Linked DNA regions of Xenopus tropicalis. The protein of the gene in region 1 interacts with the protein of each later gene in a biochemical or structural test. Links are inferred from orthologs where the notes say so. Each region holds a gene or a part of one and is shown in the gene's direction. Other genes may lie near its edges. The genes, in order: arfip1 and arf3.

The links.
Region 2: the proteins of arfip1 (region 1) and arf3 form a complex in vitro, tested with the Homo sapiens proteins (2 studies listed by BioGRID). The link is inferred for Xenopus tropicalis from reciprocal best matches to the Homo sapiens genes ARFIP1 and ARF3.

Annotation. Positions count from the first base shown.
Region 1 is NC_030677.2:55,326,970-55,334,561, reverse strand, and holds part of arfip1 (arfaptin-1), read left to right. Parts: intron 1-3,561; coding exon 3,562-3,719; intron 3,720-7,592. UniProt on the Homo sapiens protein: Plays a role in controlling biogenesis of secretory granules at the trans-Golgi network. Mechanistically, binds ARF-GTP at the neck of a growing secretory granule precursor and forms a protective scaffold.
Region 2 is NC_030678.2:136,290,278-136,298,568, forward strand, and holds the start of arf3 (ADP-ribosylation factor 3), read left to right. Parts: upstream 1-3,710; 5' UTR 3,711-3,756; intron 3,757-8,291.

The DNA of each region.
Region 1 (7,592 bases):
TACAGTTAAGGAAAATATTGCAAAATACACTGTGTTTGGAGCTTAATCTCTAATTGTTTTAGGGCGAATACAGATGAGGCTATTAGTCGCTGCAATTGTGAAAATCCACAGTCGCAGCCACTAAAAAAACAATCGCTGTGACTAATTGCCATGATGGCTAACTCCGTGCATAGATGTACAAGTTGCTGTTACTTTAGCAGTGGCGATTAGCTGCCGCAACTGGATTTTTAAAAATTGTGGCAACTAATCACCCTGTCTGTCTTAGCCCTTAGTGTACTTTACTCAGCATTGTTTAATTAAAACTGGTTAGTAAATAGTTAAGCAGGTTAGAGGTTTTCTAGCTAAATGTAGGTAGGTGCATTCAGCCAAGGGTTATTTGCATGTTTTGTTTGCTGAGTTGCTTTTTGGATATCATTATGTTTTCAGAGCTGCCAGTTAGAGGGATGGGTGGAACCACAGACAAGTAGCTCAGGCAGTTTAACAGTGAGGCATCATTTGGACTTAAGGTGGCCGTACACTATAAGATTTGCGAGGTTCCCCCCCCCCCCCCCCCCAACATGCCCACCTAAGGTGAATGATATCGAAGTAATCCAACTGTTTGGCCCTCGGGTATTGATGTCACTGAAGCGAGGATCATATCAATATACCTATAGATCCCTGATCTGATGGGAAAATCAAACCTGCCGAATCAACATCTGTCTGATTTTCGTCCAGATATCAGGTGGATAAGCCCATCGGTGGGGGCCCAAACACAGACAGATAAGCTGCCCGTGTATGGCCACCTTTAGATAATATTGCCCAGTGTATTAGATATTACATTGATTGGATTATTTTGCTTTCTTTTATGGTACATTTACTAACTTTCTCACCTGCACATAACACAAATTACTTTCATCGGGAGCCAATTCACCAACAAAGTACCTGGAGGATTCCCATCCCAAAGATAATAGAGATCATAATGGGGATTATTTAAGATCACTAGCCAGATGTGAACAAGTGCAATTACCGATGGCAGCCTATTGGCAAATAGCCGTGTGTTGATTATGTGAAGTTTCTCAGTATACAGAAAGTAAAACATCATAGTTGCATTTATGTGTGATATAGTTGGCATTGTAATCTGTGGAAATTTATAAAGGATATATCTCTAGTGACAAACAGAGTGGCAGTTCCTAGTTAATTCTGGTTGCTTGTGTATAACAATGTCATGTTTCATACATTTAAGGCTATTAGCATGTATTTGGTTTTTGACTAAAATATTTCTGTCAGGGAGACCCATGGGGATCTGAACACCTTTCCTGTGGAAAAAGGCTGCCATATGGCACAATGAATTGGGAGACTTTCATCTAATATGCAATACAATATGGGAAATAGTACCTTGATTATGAAGAGCTTGTGTTATTGCTGTGAATTGATATATGTAATAGATGTTGTTGTGTGCAGGTGAATGAAAGTCAATAGTTAAAATGAAATCTGCCAAATCTGATCATGTCTCTGTTAGGCTGTAGTTTCTGCATGTCCATTGGCTGTTCTTGCTCCCCACCCTTGTTATCAGTCACTTAGATAGGCTCTGCGTCCTGCTGTGCACGTCCTGTTTGCGGCTGCTTTGTCAGGGTTTCCATGGCACTATTAAAGCATTCCAGTCATATATCCAATCAGATGTCTATTCTACCTGTAGCTGTCTGTTTTCCTTTCTTATCAATAGATAGTTTACTTGACATTTTAGCTGGGGTTACATTAGGATTGCCATCCTCCGTTTGGATCATTTGCTGTGTGACTGCATATATACCTCTGTTTATCTGTCATTGCAGCTTTCCTTCCAGGCCTCCGTGTAGCACAGGCACAGAACCCTTTGCAACACTATGGGCAGTTGTCCGCTAATGCATATGTTATGCCAGTGAGCGTATATTTTAACAATATCGGAAATTGCTTCCCCTAGCATGAAAACAGCATGCAGTACTAATATACTGTACACATTTATTTGTGTGGTTTATCAATAATTATTTTAGGGTACATTTTCCTTAATCATTGTCACAAAAGTTTCCTTCTATGTTCATTGTTAAACTAGTATTAATTGTAAGGTTGGGGGCATATGGGGTGCATGATCTGCTTTTCTCAACATCACAGCATTGGCCTATGTGCAGGTACACTGAGCCTATTTTGGGCCAAAAATGCATTTTTTCATACAAATGTAGGTGAGAAAAGTGAATCACCACCCCATGTGCCTATACCCTTATAGTGTAAGCTATAACAAGCAGGGCAACCTTTACCTCCTGTATTGTTCAGTATCTGTATGTATACATTTTTCTATTGTACAGTGCTGTACAAAATGTTGGCGCTTTATAAATAGATGATGATGATTGTTATAGTAATCTCATATTGTAGCGGGAACAGACGCTCTTCCTCTTGTGTTTCTTAACTTATTTCCATATGTAATAAAAGGCACTATGTTTGCCCAAGTCTGGTCACCCGTAGCAACAAATCACATTGAATTGGCTAGTAAATGCTATATGGTAATGATATGTTTTGTATATCGTGCTGTTACTTTATCCGTCTTTTCTATAAATGTTTTTTTTAGAATGTGCCCCATGTATTTAAATATTATCATATATTATTTTCTGTGTAATGGAGGGGATTTACACTGAAAATAATTAATCTTTTCATTTGTTTATGGTTTATATAATAGAACTGTAAAAAAAGTATGCCATTAGTTTGTATAAGGTACAATAGAGCCGAACAGATATGTTTAGTTTAACACATATTTCTGAAATTTATTTCTATTGGATAGCCTTGCAGAATATGTTTGCTGCACAGCAACCTCTTGTACTGCTCAGGCTTTAATGTAAGCTGCTAAATGGATAAGGAGAAAAAAGTGCCAGTAAAATGCACACGGATCAGTGTTCCTTTAAGTGCCCTTTTTATAGGTGAAAACATCTTCATAGTGTGCTCCTTTCATGGCAGTATATAATTTTTTTGTAGCATTACAAGAACATTTGCTATAACTCCGATATAACTAAACTAATCACTTCACCAGTTACTGGTAACAGTTCTTCGACAGTGGAATCGGTATGGCATTGGGAGTTGCAGGAAGGGTGAATGGCAGAGCTAAGTGCCATCATCATTAGTGTTTAGCAATTTTACATGTGTTGCAAAGTGTTTATAAATGGCACAGTATAGACATGTTGTGTGAAAGTGTATACTACACTTAGACTGTAAGCTCTACGGGGCAGGGACCCCCTTCCTACTTTGTCTCATACCACATGGCACTTATATATATATATATATATATATATATATATATATATATATATATATATATATATATATATATATATATATATATATAATATTGTATTTATTTATTATATCACTTGTCCTCCCTGTGTGTAATTTTGTATTTTGTAAGATTGTACAGTGCTGCGTCCCTTTGTGGCACTTTATAAATAAAGTTATACATACATACATACATACATACATACACTTTTAAATCCCGCAGTGATATTTTTGCCTCAGTTTGTTTTTTTGTATGAACGTTTTGCAAATAAATGTTGTTTATTTTGGCAGGAGGAGTTTGGATACAATGCAGATACGCAGAAACTTCTTGCCAAGAATGGGGAGACTCTTCTGGGGGCCATGAACTTTTTTATTTCTGGCGTAAATACTCTAGTTAACAAAACCATTGAAGACACCCTGATTACTGTGAAGCAGTACGAAACATCCAGGTAAGGACTGGCGCTGATAAGGTTATTTCACATAGAATCATGCATTCCTGTAACTGAGCTGCCAGTATCATGCCTGTATTTTTTTCATTTTTATTTATTTTTTTATTTGCTTTTATTAAAAAGTAATACAAAGGTACACAAAAGAGGGCAATGCCCAATAGCTCAGTTTAGGGTATTTTGAAAGCTGAATGAAAACTCCAGTATAGACAATTGTTGTTCAGATTTGTCTCAAAATCATTGGACAATAGTTTCCTTACATTTCTTATGGTACAGATACCATATATTATATTTAATTTTCTTCTGTAAAGAGCAAAACATTGGAGCCTAAATATTTGTGCTCAGGACATTCTTTCTCTGGATATCTACATTTGAGCATATACATTAATGTGCTGCTATATTGCTTAGCATCATCTGAGGCATCATATAATGCATATAAAAAATATTTGCTGCCTTGGAAGTTTTTATGTTTTATTGTCTTAGAACACTGAATCACAGTGGGTTTCATTTTTTTTTTTTTAATTGATCAACAAATAATGAAAAACACAAGATAACTGATGCATAAATATACACCCCTTTATATGACATTGGTGTAGCCAAATCTTTTCCAGTCACACAAATTAGTTTAATGGGTATCACATGTTTGTAGTCGAGCTTTATGTAGCATAAATAAAGAATTGGATAACCCTAAACCAACTCATGGAATGAAAACTGATTATCCATGCAGCCTGACAGAGAGGAATTCTGCAAACAGGAATTGGTAAAAATTGCTATGCTCTCATGGCGACAAAAAAATCCCGATCATTATGGAAAAAACGCATTTGGACACTTTTCGGACGTTCGTGGATTAGTAAATGTGCCCCTAAGTGTTTTAATACACAGTTGGGATCCCTGTCCCAAAGAGCTTACAGTCTGTTATGAAAAGGAAACAAACAGAAACACAAAAAGGGGGGTATAAATGCTTGGGTTAAGGGTGTGTTGGGTGAAGACTAGTGAAGTGCACTTGAAATATCTGTGCAAAAATTCAAATTGAGGTTATGAACATCTCCACTTTACTGTTATGGCTGCCCAATAGCTTAGTGGGTAGCACTGTTACCTTGCAGCACGGGGGCCTTGAGTTTCATTCCAGCCAGGGCACCAACTGCAAGGAGTTTGTATCTTCTCCATCTCTGTAAAGCACTGTGCAAATGTGTCAGCGTATTTAAATACCAGAAAAATAAAAATAAGAATGTCTAATCCTGAAAAATATTGCATACAGAATAATTCTTTAAAACCATATTTTTGGTGTTACATCTTGTGCCATGAGCCGTCAGAGTGCAGTAGAAGACAAAACTTGCTCCTCAGTAGACTGGTTGGGTTGGCTCACAGGTTGAGAATCAGTGGTTTTGTCTTTAGGGGAAATGTTTTGGTAACAGACAATATTAGTTTGATTTGCCATCAACAAAACTAGACAACATGGTTGCAACTCAAACCCCAGAGAATGTGTATTCCCTGACTGAACAATTTGTTAATAAAACCAGTAACATTTCTGAAACAAGCTTTGCAAACAGTTGGACAATTCCATCAAAATATGAATGGTTGACCTATAAGGTCAAGAGTACACAGACTTCTTCATACAATGTGTTGATCCTAGGTCAGACAATAAACATCGTTCCATGGAAGGTTTTTACTCTGAGGAATTCTGTTGAACAAACAGTGTGGAATCAATCCAAGTCTCCCAAGCCATCCATCTGACTATGCGCTTAGTAGCTAATGTTTATGGCTGCATCTGTTGAGACAGTTTTTTTGCATCAGAAAACATAACATTTATTTGTCTTTTTAAACAAAAGATTAGGACCACCTTGTCAGAGAGGGTTAGGGGGGTATTTTACTAGTTGGAAAGGGTAGAACAATGAAGCTGTGAGCAGAAGTGAAATAAGCACTTGCTAGAAAGAATTACAGTGTAATAAATTCATCGGATTTACTAAAGGTCACTACTCTAGTGAAATTCTGTTCCTGGGCTGGTGGCTTATGGGCCGCTTTTAAACCAACGGAAAGTCAGCCCAAATTTTTTTGCCACTTTATGCGAAGTGCTTGACAGCGCCAATTGTGATACTATTTAGCAAAATAACTTGGTGTTTATTTTTTGCTTGGTTTTTATGAAATAACTTGTGATTTCTACCAGCCATTACAGTCACATTAACATCTGACTGCTTCTCAAGTATTAGTGCCCAGCCTGTAAATGCAACTTTTCTTTGCTATATGGCCAAACACTTTGTACTGTATGGCACTGCATGCCTTTTATATTCACTAAATTACTTTAGGGATGGGCTCTATAAAGCTTGTAACATTAGGTACATGTACATTTTGATATTGGAACCTATTGTCTATGTTCATCTAGCCTGGACTGTCCACATATAAAAGAATTCAAAATTTGTTGTAAGAATATAATATTTCTAAAGCCGGCCCTCTTGGTCCACTCCAAGGGAAAGTAGTGTAGTAAATGTTATCTATATGATCTTACCTAAATATCCACATTTGGTGAGGAGCCAATATATTAAGGCAGTGAAATATAGTTGGTCTATCTACCCCTTAACCACTCCTTTACACGTTCAGATTTTAGTCTTCTGACAAATGTTGATGTTATACAATTGTATGTTTAAATGCAACAATCTAACATTCAGATTGAATGTTCTGAACATGAAATAGTTTGCAGACCCCAATTGTACCAAAATGACTTCCTGGAAATGCATTGTATATCCCTCATGGATATTGTCAGATACACAACACAAGCACAGATTTGATCGTTATCTGACTGAAGACATTTTGTTACCTGTCCAATCAACTACACTACCTATCGGCATGGTACAAAAATTATGAGATTGATAATTTGGAGCACACACAGTCCAAAAACTATGTCTCGTACGGCTCTGATCTGTTAGAAATGTATTTTCTAATTGGAGTCAAGGTGGGTACTTAAATCGAGAAAACGTTGCCCATATACAAGGTGAAATACATTGCCCATTAGTTGTAACTTGTATGTATATATATTGAAGCAATAGGATGAGTGCTCCAGGCACTCCCATATCTTTATATCTGTGTTTCACAAAGGCATGTGTGCCCCAGTGTTATGATTACAGTCTGGAATAAGGTGCCAGTTCTTGGTGGAGAATAGCAGTTATTAGCGCTTGTGTGTTCTCTCCTTTCTCTCCTCGGCACGTGTCAGTGCAAGCAGTCCTGTGCTGTCTGATGCCCTCACATCACGTTTTGCCCCAAAGCTACAATGTCTAAAATGAAAATTAAACTTTAAGTGTATGATTTGTTATTTGGGCAACATGAGAGATTTTGCAAAACAACTATTTTACAATTATAAAACATAGAGCTGGCAATGACAATACTGTTTTTTATTTCTATATTTACCCTTCAAGAGACCAATTAATATTATGGTTCTGGGTAAGGGTAACTGTTGCAATTGAATAAAAGTTATAAATCAACATGTGAATGTGTTCCAAAAAAGTTTTGCCACGTGCGTGCGTGTGTATATATATATTTTTCCCCCCCCGGTTGCTTATGCTTAACAGAACCATCACAATTTTTGTTTATCAAGCTTTAATGCAGTCAGCCATGAGCAAAGCCTGGAGTATTCAGCTTATTGTCAGCACCGTCTCCTTTGCCAAATCGCACTGTATCTGGTGAAGTAGAAGTTCAGCTTAATTGTAGCTTGGGAAACATTTTAATATGTTCTCATAATTGTTGTTGATTTATTCAGAAGCTGAAGAAAAAAGTTTCCAGATCTCACAAGCCTGTACTTGCTGAGCTTATCTGATGCTTTGAATAAAGATATCTCAACATATACATGTGGAAATGTAGAAATGTTGGCCTTGTGTTATTGATCAG
Region 2 (8,291 bases), on another chromosome or scaffold:
CCATGTCTGTAATTACACATTGCTGGACATTTTCTCTGCTGGGAAAAACAAAATGTTGTCAGTTCTATGTGTTAAGGAAATCCACTTCCTATTTTCCCTTATCTCACTTTCCTTCTTTAAGCCCTTTAATTGGAACGAGTGAGGATAACAATGTTATACGCAGCACTGTGGTAAGGTTTTACTAATGACACAGAATGAGCTGTATTTTCATTTTAAGACAAATTTACCTACAGATCTATCTTTAACAATACTGCTATGGAAAGTAAAAATGGTAGCTTGACATTTACATTAATTACATGTATGTCATCCCATACATCCATCTGTGCTCAAAATGGCCTCCTTCAATGTTGCTTACAGTCCCATAGTACCTATTTCCTTTTACCCTGGGGGTGATAGCCCTGTTACAGTGCCTTTTAGCTGACCTTGAAAGTTGCCCATTAAACTGATACTCTCTCCCTACTATTATTGCCTGTTGCCATTGCTACCTTCTTCCTCCTGAACTTACCATCCAGTCAAGTCATAGCTGTACTATCTCTGATGAAAAAATATTAAAGAGCAACAGTCAGTATTATTTTAAAAAAATTAAATGTAGTAGATGTTTAATAAACCTGTTCTTCAGTTTGTTTCTTAAAACTGTTTACGATTTATTTATTTTGAGTTCCTCATCCAGCATTTTTTTCCAGCTTCAACCAACATGCAGTGAGTTACTGACAGATATCATTTGCTCTAACTGGCTGATTCTAGCAACAGTAAACTACTGACACCCATGGCGTAACTAGATGTTACTGGGTCCCATATCAAATTCATTTTAGGGCCCTAAAACACTGGCAAGTTGACCTGATCTACCAAGATATATTGAAATTTCTCATTATTTTCGGCCTTACAGGGACCTTTACACTACTGGGCCCAACTGCAAGTGCAGGGTCTGCTTACTCTGTAGTTACTTTTTGACTGACACGCAGCAAGGTTGAGTTGTTTGCAGAAAGACAAAAATGTTAGGTTAAGGAAGCACAATAATAAACCTTTTATGTGACAAAAGGTGAAAATATTATAAAATCTATTTGTGAGAAGGAACTAAGCATCCATTACAATTTAAAGGGGCTATTTAATACTTTATTCTGTATTTCCAAATTAAATGTTATTCAGTGACAGATTGTAAATTGCCTGGTTTCCAAAACAATGTGCAGAGCTGTCAACTTGCCAGCACCACTAGGAGGGGAAAAGTGCATCACGTGCTGGTGTGCGCTTCTTATACCCGGAAGTGACATCATGTGCATGCGCTAATGCCCGATTGAAGCCAAAAAAATTGCTACCCATGCGTGTGCAGATGCTCCGGATGATCTCACCTTACGCCTACTGCACATGCGCATCCAGATTAAACACGAATTTAGGGGAATATCAAAAATTCAGGAGAATGCTATTGGATGACAGGAGACAGGGGAGAAGAACCCAAAATCAGGTAAATCACGAAAAAAAAATGGGTGACAGCTCTGAATGTGCATCTAAAGTTCTGAGAACAGCAGATGATGACCAGACATGTCAACTCACCTTAATTTAACCCTTTCTCATTTGCAGTAAAGGGTCCTTCACCCACTGTCTGTAATTTGCACCAGAATCTTTACTTTCCCACTCTATTAAAATTCATAGAAGCGAAACTGGTCCATCTAGGTGCAATAACTTCAAGCTGGTAAGTTAGAAATGTGGATGACCCAATACAAAGTCAGCACTGCAGAGTTCATGTAGAAACATTTAGGCATGCCTATGACAAAGGCAGTAGTGCAGCACAGCATATGAAGCCCATTTGGTAGGTCACCCCTTCCAAATATATATCCACTTCCCAACATTTTGGTGGAGAAATGTATGGAAGTATAAATCACCACAGAAAAACAGATATTGGAGCCTATAGTCTTTTTTTAAAATTTTATTTTCATTGTTTACATGATTGCTGGACTTTACAATGTTCAAACACAATGGAATTATATCAATAAGTGATAAAAATAAGAAAAAAGGATATCACTCTTATAATTTTCATGACTTGTTTTTTTTAACCAGGGTAAGGGAACTGTGGAGAGGTGAGTTGTAGGGGGAGGGGTATTGGGAAAGCCTATACTCTTTAACTTCATGACACCCAGTCTGTGGAGAATCCATTTGTTTACATAAGAAACAAAAACCTATATAGGGTTGCCACCTTTTCTGGAAAAAATTACTGGCCTTCCTTGATTTTAGCAGACACAAAGGAATCTGAGAAATTAGAAAAAAGGAGGTTCCATCTTATTTCTTAAATATGCATTTTGACTTCATTAAATTATAATAACCAATACACAAATTATTCGGTTAACTCTTAGGCTGTTAGGTTAACACTTAACTGAAATAACACATGCCTTACAATGAGTTGAAATATATAAAAAGTATATTTATGAGAATTATTGGTCATGTATAACTGTGTTAAATGTCAGTGGTTATTGTGGCCCTGCTGATTTACTATAAGTATGGTCTTTTATATAACGCCCTAAAAAAGAACAAGTGCCACTAGGCCTGAACTGGCAATCTGTGCAGCCATCAACAGTCACTATTTATTGGGCTGATGGGGGGCCTGTATGGACCTTTCTGTACTTGAAATGCCAGACCCTATTTTATATCCCAGACCTGGGTGCCAACAGTTTGGGAAGAAATTTCAGCCTTCCTCCCTATTTATCTTCTGTTAAAGGAGACATATTTTATAAATGGGAAAAAACCCTAATTTTGTAGGCAATTATGAATAATATTTGAGCTCCCTATAGATACTATCAGTTCTCTGTCCCTGTTTGAAATGAAGGGTGGGCGTGTCCTAACAGTCCCTGCCAGAAGCACAGTAGGAGGGGGAGAGCCAATCACAGTCACACAAGCAAAGACAGGCTTCAGTTCCCTATGAGGTCAGCCTAGCTGCTGATTGGATCCTACAGTGCTTGTACTTAGAGCCGATGGCTCCCCTGCACATCCAGAAAACAAAAACTGTAGTACCGTGTTAGCCAGTGTCAAAAATAATAATAAAAAAACAAAACACAAATACAAGAGTATTGTAGAAATGATACCTATATTGGCTAACAATAAAAATACATTGCAAGCTTTCGGAGCTCTAAGGCCCCTTCATCAGGCAAAATACAAATTAGTATTTTTATTGTTAGCCAATATAGGTATCATTTCTACAATACTCTTGTATTTGTGTTTTGTTTTTTTATTATTATTTCTGCACATCCAGAGAATTCAGCCAGCAGGAAGTGGAACAGATGGGGGGGCTACTGGGGTTTTGGTGGAATTTCTCAATAAATCAGAAACAGAACTTTTTTAAGCTCAATCCTTCTATATCTAGAGGAGTATTATTCACTGGTACAGTCTTAATTTTTATAGGATTTAGAGAAGTTGTGTTGCCCAACTAGCTAGATTTTGAGCCTTTTTGATATTTTTCATGGCACTGCCTTGTGTATAGGCGCCTGTGTGATGAGGCTTAGCTTTTGCGAGAGGCTGTGTGGGTGCATTGTACAGATCAGGCTCTCACATGAGGCACAGGCCTGCTGCCCACTCATCCCCGCAGCACAGCGCAAGGTTGGAGCTGCTGCATCTGTTACTGTGGAAACGGAGCCAAGTCTCGCGAGAGGTCCCTAGCGCATCGCCCCACAGCTATGGGAGATATCGCGATATTTCTTCGTGGTGCTTCCGGCCGGAGAGGACAGAGGAGTCGCTGCGGTAGGGAAGGAAGAAGAAGAAGAGGAGGTGGAGGTAGGTGACAGGCAGCGAGTGTCGCTCGTTAGTGTCGCTGTTACATGCCTTCGTCGTTTTGCAAGCAATCATCACCATCAGTATATGAGCAGCGTTTGGCTTTCCCCTTCACTGAATAACGGCGGGGTGCCTGCCTCCATCCGTCATACAGGAGCTGACAATGATACCTATATATGGGGACCTCCCCATAGAGCAAGGCACCTGTCAAAAAAATGTTACATTAGATTTCCCTCAGCCCTCGCAAATGTTGTGTTTGGCTTTCTGTTTGCACATTGACTGCAAATCCCAGCATTCACCATTGGCTTTGGGGCCACAGGTAGAAAATCATCAACCTCCGTTTTCCTGCATTGTCTTGGAGATCGATGGCTTGTATTGCACCTTATACATATATAATACATATATAATACACACGGGCCTGGAATGTCAGATATGTCCTTAGAAATAGCCTTAGTCATGTCATTGTCACATGACTCACCAAAATCTGTCTGTTATAAGAAAATGATGCACCTTCTGTTATAAAATGTGAGGATATTAGAAGTCACCCTGAGTTCCATGAGCTGTATAAAAGCCCTCAGCCTCATAGAACCTCTTGGGGCTCACAATATGGCTGTATTAGAAGTCACCAAGGGTTCCATGACCACATATAGTACTTGTTTGTTTAATACAGCCCATGGAACGTCCCAATAGCCTTTTTGTATGTTATCCCACCTGTTCATTTATGACAAGATATCAAAATTAGGTAGGAGGCAAATAAAAAATGACTTTTCACGATTTTATAAATGAAATGCCCAGTCTTAACTCCCAAGATGTTTTATTTGTTACTTTACTTCCCTCCTCAGATACACGTACCCCACCAGTACCTTCATTGCTCTACACAACTCCCAGCATCTTTTACTTTGTTATTTTTAAGTTTTATTGTCACTGTCACAATTCAGTCACCATTACTGTCAAGAACACCTTCTCACACCTTCATTGGCATTCTAAACTCCCAGCGCCTTCACTGTCACACACAATCCCAGCACTTTTATTGTGACATGCAACTCCCAGCACCTTCACTGTCACACACAATCCCAGCACTTTTATTTTGACATGCAACTCCCAGCACCTTCACTGTCACACACAATCCCAGCACTTTTATTGTGACATGCAACTCCCAGCACCTTCACTGTCACACACAAATCCCAGCACTTTTATTGTGACATGCAACTCCCAGCGCCTTCACTGTCACACACAAATCCCAGCACTTTTATTGTGACATGCAACTCCCAGCACCTTCACTGTCACACACAATCCCAGCACTTTTATTGTGACATGCAACTCCCAGCTCCTTCACTGTCACACACAATCCCAGCACTTTTATTGTGACATGCAACTCCCAGCGCCTTCACTGTCACACACAAATGCCAGCACTTTTATTGTGACATGCAACTCCCAGCGCCTTCACTGTCACACACAAATGCCAGCAATTTTATTGTGACATGCAACTCCCAGCGCCTTCACTGTCACACACAAATGCCAGCACTTTTATTGTGACATGCAACTCCCAGCACCTTCACTGTCACACACAATCCCAGCACTTTTATTGTGACATGCAACTCCCAGCACCTTCACTGTCACACACAATCCCAGCACTTTTATTGTGACATGCAACTCCCAGCACCTTCACTGTCACACACAAATCCCAGCACTTTTATTGTGACATGCAACTCCCAGCACCTTCACTGTCACACACAAATCCCAGCACTTTTATTGTGACATGCAACTCCCAGCACCTTCACTGTCACACACAATCCCAGCACTTTTATTGTGACATGCAACTCCCAGCGCCTTCACTGTCACACACAAATGCCAGCACTTTTATTGTGACATGCAACTCCCAGCGCCTTCACTGTCACACACAAATGCCAGCACTTTTATTGTGACATGCAACTCCCAGCGCCTTCACTGTCAACACAATGCCAGCACTTTTATTGTGACATGCAACTCCCAGCACTTCACTGTCACACACAAATGCCAGCACTTTTATTGTGACATGCAACTCCCAGCACCTTCACTGTCACACACAATCCCAGCACTTTTATTGTGATATGCAACTCCCAGCACCTTCACTGTCACACACAATGCCAGCATTTTTCTTGTGACATGCAACTCCCAGCGCCTTCACTGTCACACACAAATGCCAGCACTTTTATTGTGACATGCAACTCCCAGCACCTTCACTGTCACACACAATGCCAGCATTTTTATTGTGACATGGAACTCCCAGCACCTTTTTGGAATACTCCCAAGATTTAGATATTGCATTAGGGTTATGTGCTGAAAAAAATGAATTGTATGGTACTGAAGCATTGGGAACATGATGTGTAAATGAATTAAGCCGTGCTCAAGAATTCAATATTGTAATATAGTATAGATCATTAATATTTATGCACATTAAATTAAAGCAATAATTAGTCATATATGCCTTCTCAGTTTGGTGTTGGAGAAATGATCCCATTGATCGATATAGGGTAGGCACAAGAGTGCTGAACAAGGCTAGCTGCACTTGTGGTGTGAGGGACGTAGGATAGGGAAGCAAATTGGGGGTGCACAGTGGCGGGCTAGCGCCAGACCATTTGGTAGCAGACACATAGGGGCTGATTTACTTACCCACGAACGGGTCGAATGGAGTCCGATTGCGTTTTTTTCGTAATGATCGGTATTTTGCGATTTTTTCGTATGTTTTGCGATTTTTTCGGATTCTTTACGAATTTTTCGTTACCAATACGATTTTTGCGTAAAAACGCGAGTTTTCGTATCCATTACGAAATTTGCGTAAAAAGTTGTGCATTTTTCGTAGCGTTAAAACTTACGCGAAAAGTTGCGCATTTTTCGTAGCATTAAGTTTTAACGCTACGAAAAATGCGCAACTTTTCGCGTAAGTTTTAACGCTACGAAAAATGCGCAACTTTTTACGCAACTTTCGTAATGGATACGAAAAACTCGCGTTTTTACGCAAAAATCGTATTGGTAACGAAAAATTCGTAAAGAATCCGAAAAAATCGCAAAACATACGAAAAAGTCGCAAAATGTTCGTTTTCAAGTCGGAACTTTTCCAATTCGGGTCGGATTCGTGGGTTAGTAAATCAGCCCCATAGTGTATCTCTTTTTAAATTTTAAACAGTTCTTTACTATGTCAGAACATTATGCTTATATAGTGAATAATGTACCCTCTATTGTAAAATATAAGGCTATATATCCTTATATAGAACATAATACACAAGATTAGATTAGATATTATATCCATATAAATGCAGTTTAGTGATGTCATCAGTTATAGTTATAACCATGCAAGGATATACATTTTACAGTGTTATTCACTGTATAACTTGCAATATGGGTCATAGCCACTATATTGTTTATTTATAAATAGCTATCTATATATAATATATCACTCATGGTTATCCTGGGAATTTACATTCCATGTAGCATATCCTCGCACTTACATGGTCCTTTTAACTCCTTTTTGCACTGACCTATTTCTTATTCAGTATCATTTTCCGTGGCTATGTATTCCATATTTCTGTTGGAAGTCCTCCTTCAGACTATAGCCAAACATACAATTAGTCTAATTAAAATCTGTTGGATTGTCTGTAAGGTAATTGAGATAACTGAGTTAAAAGCCTGACTACCCCCCAACTTAGCAAAAAACAAGGTAACCAGGATAATAAAACATAGTAAAAAAACAATCACTTCTAGATCACAGTCTGATGTGCCTTAAGTTTTTTTTCATCCCATGCTTGAGATTTCAGTAGGAAGTAGAGGTGCCTTGAGCTGGAATGCTAAAATCCTTTAAAGGGGAATGGTTGCAGTTATGTATTTTAAAATATCCACTAAACTGAGAGTTTGATCGATTATTTTTTTTTTTTATATAATTGCATTTAACCCCTATCTAAGCAGTTCACTTGCTGACTAAAAATAAGTATTGTCTACTAATGTCTAGTGCAGTGATCTCCAACCAGTGGCTCGGGGGCAACATGTTGCTCACCCCCCCTTGGATGTTGCTCCCAGTGGCCTCATAGCAGGTGTTTATTTTTCCTGGCTTGGAGTCAAATTCTGGTTGAATATTCACATATGGCCAATCTCAGCCCTTATTGGTCACCTCCAGGAACTTTTTTCATGTTTGTGTTGCTTCCCAACTCTTTAAATTTGAAAGTGGCTAACCAGTAAAATTGTAAGACTATTTCTTACCATTTTAACTAGGTTGTAAGACTAGCTCCTAGCATTTTAAGAAAGCAAAATAATAATACTATAGAAATAACATTTCAGGCCCCAAAACAGATGGCACTTCAGCAAATGAGATGACAGCATGGACACCTTGATTAAGCTTATAGAAAACTGAGTAGAATAAAGGTGTCCATGCTGTGTTGCTTTTCTCTCAATATTATTAGAATTTATTTGTAGTCATCATGCCAATTTAATCTTTAGACAATAGCAGTTTAAAAGCCACCTAGCCCTTAAGGGCTATGTCACACAAGGCTTTATCTATGCCGGCG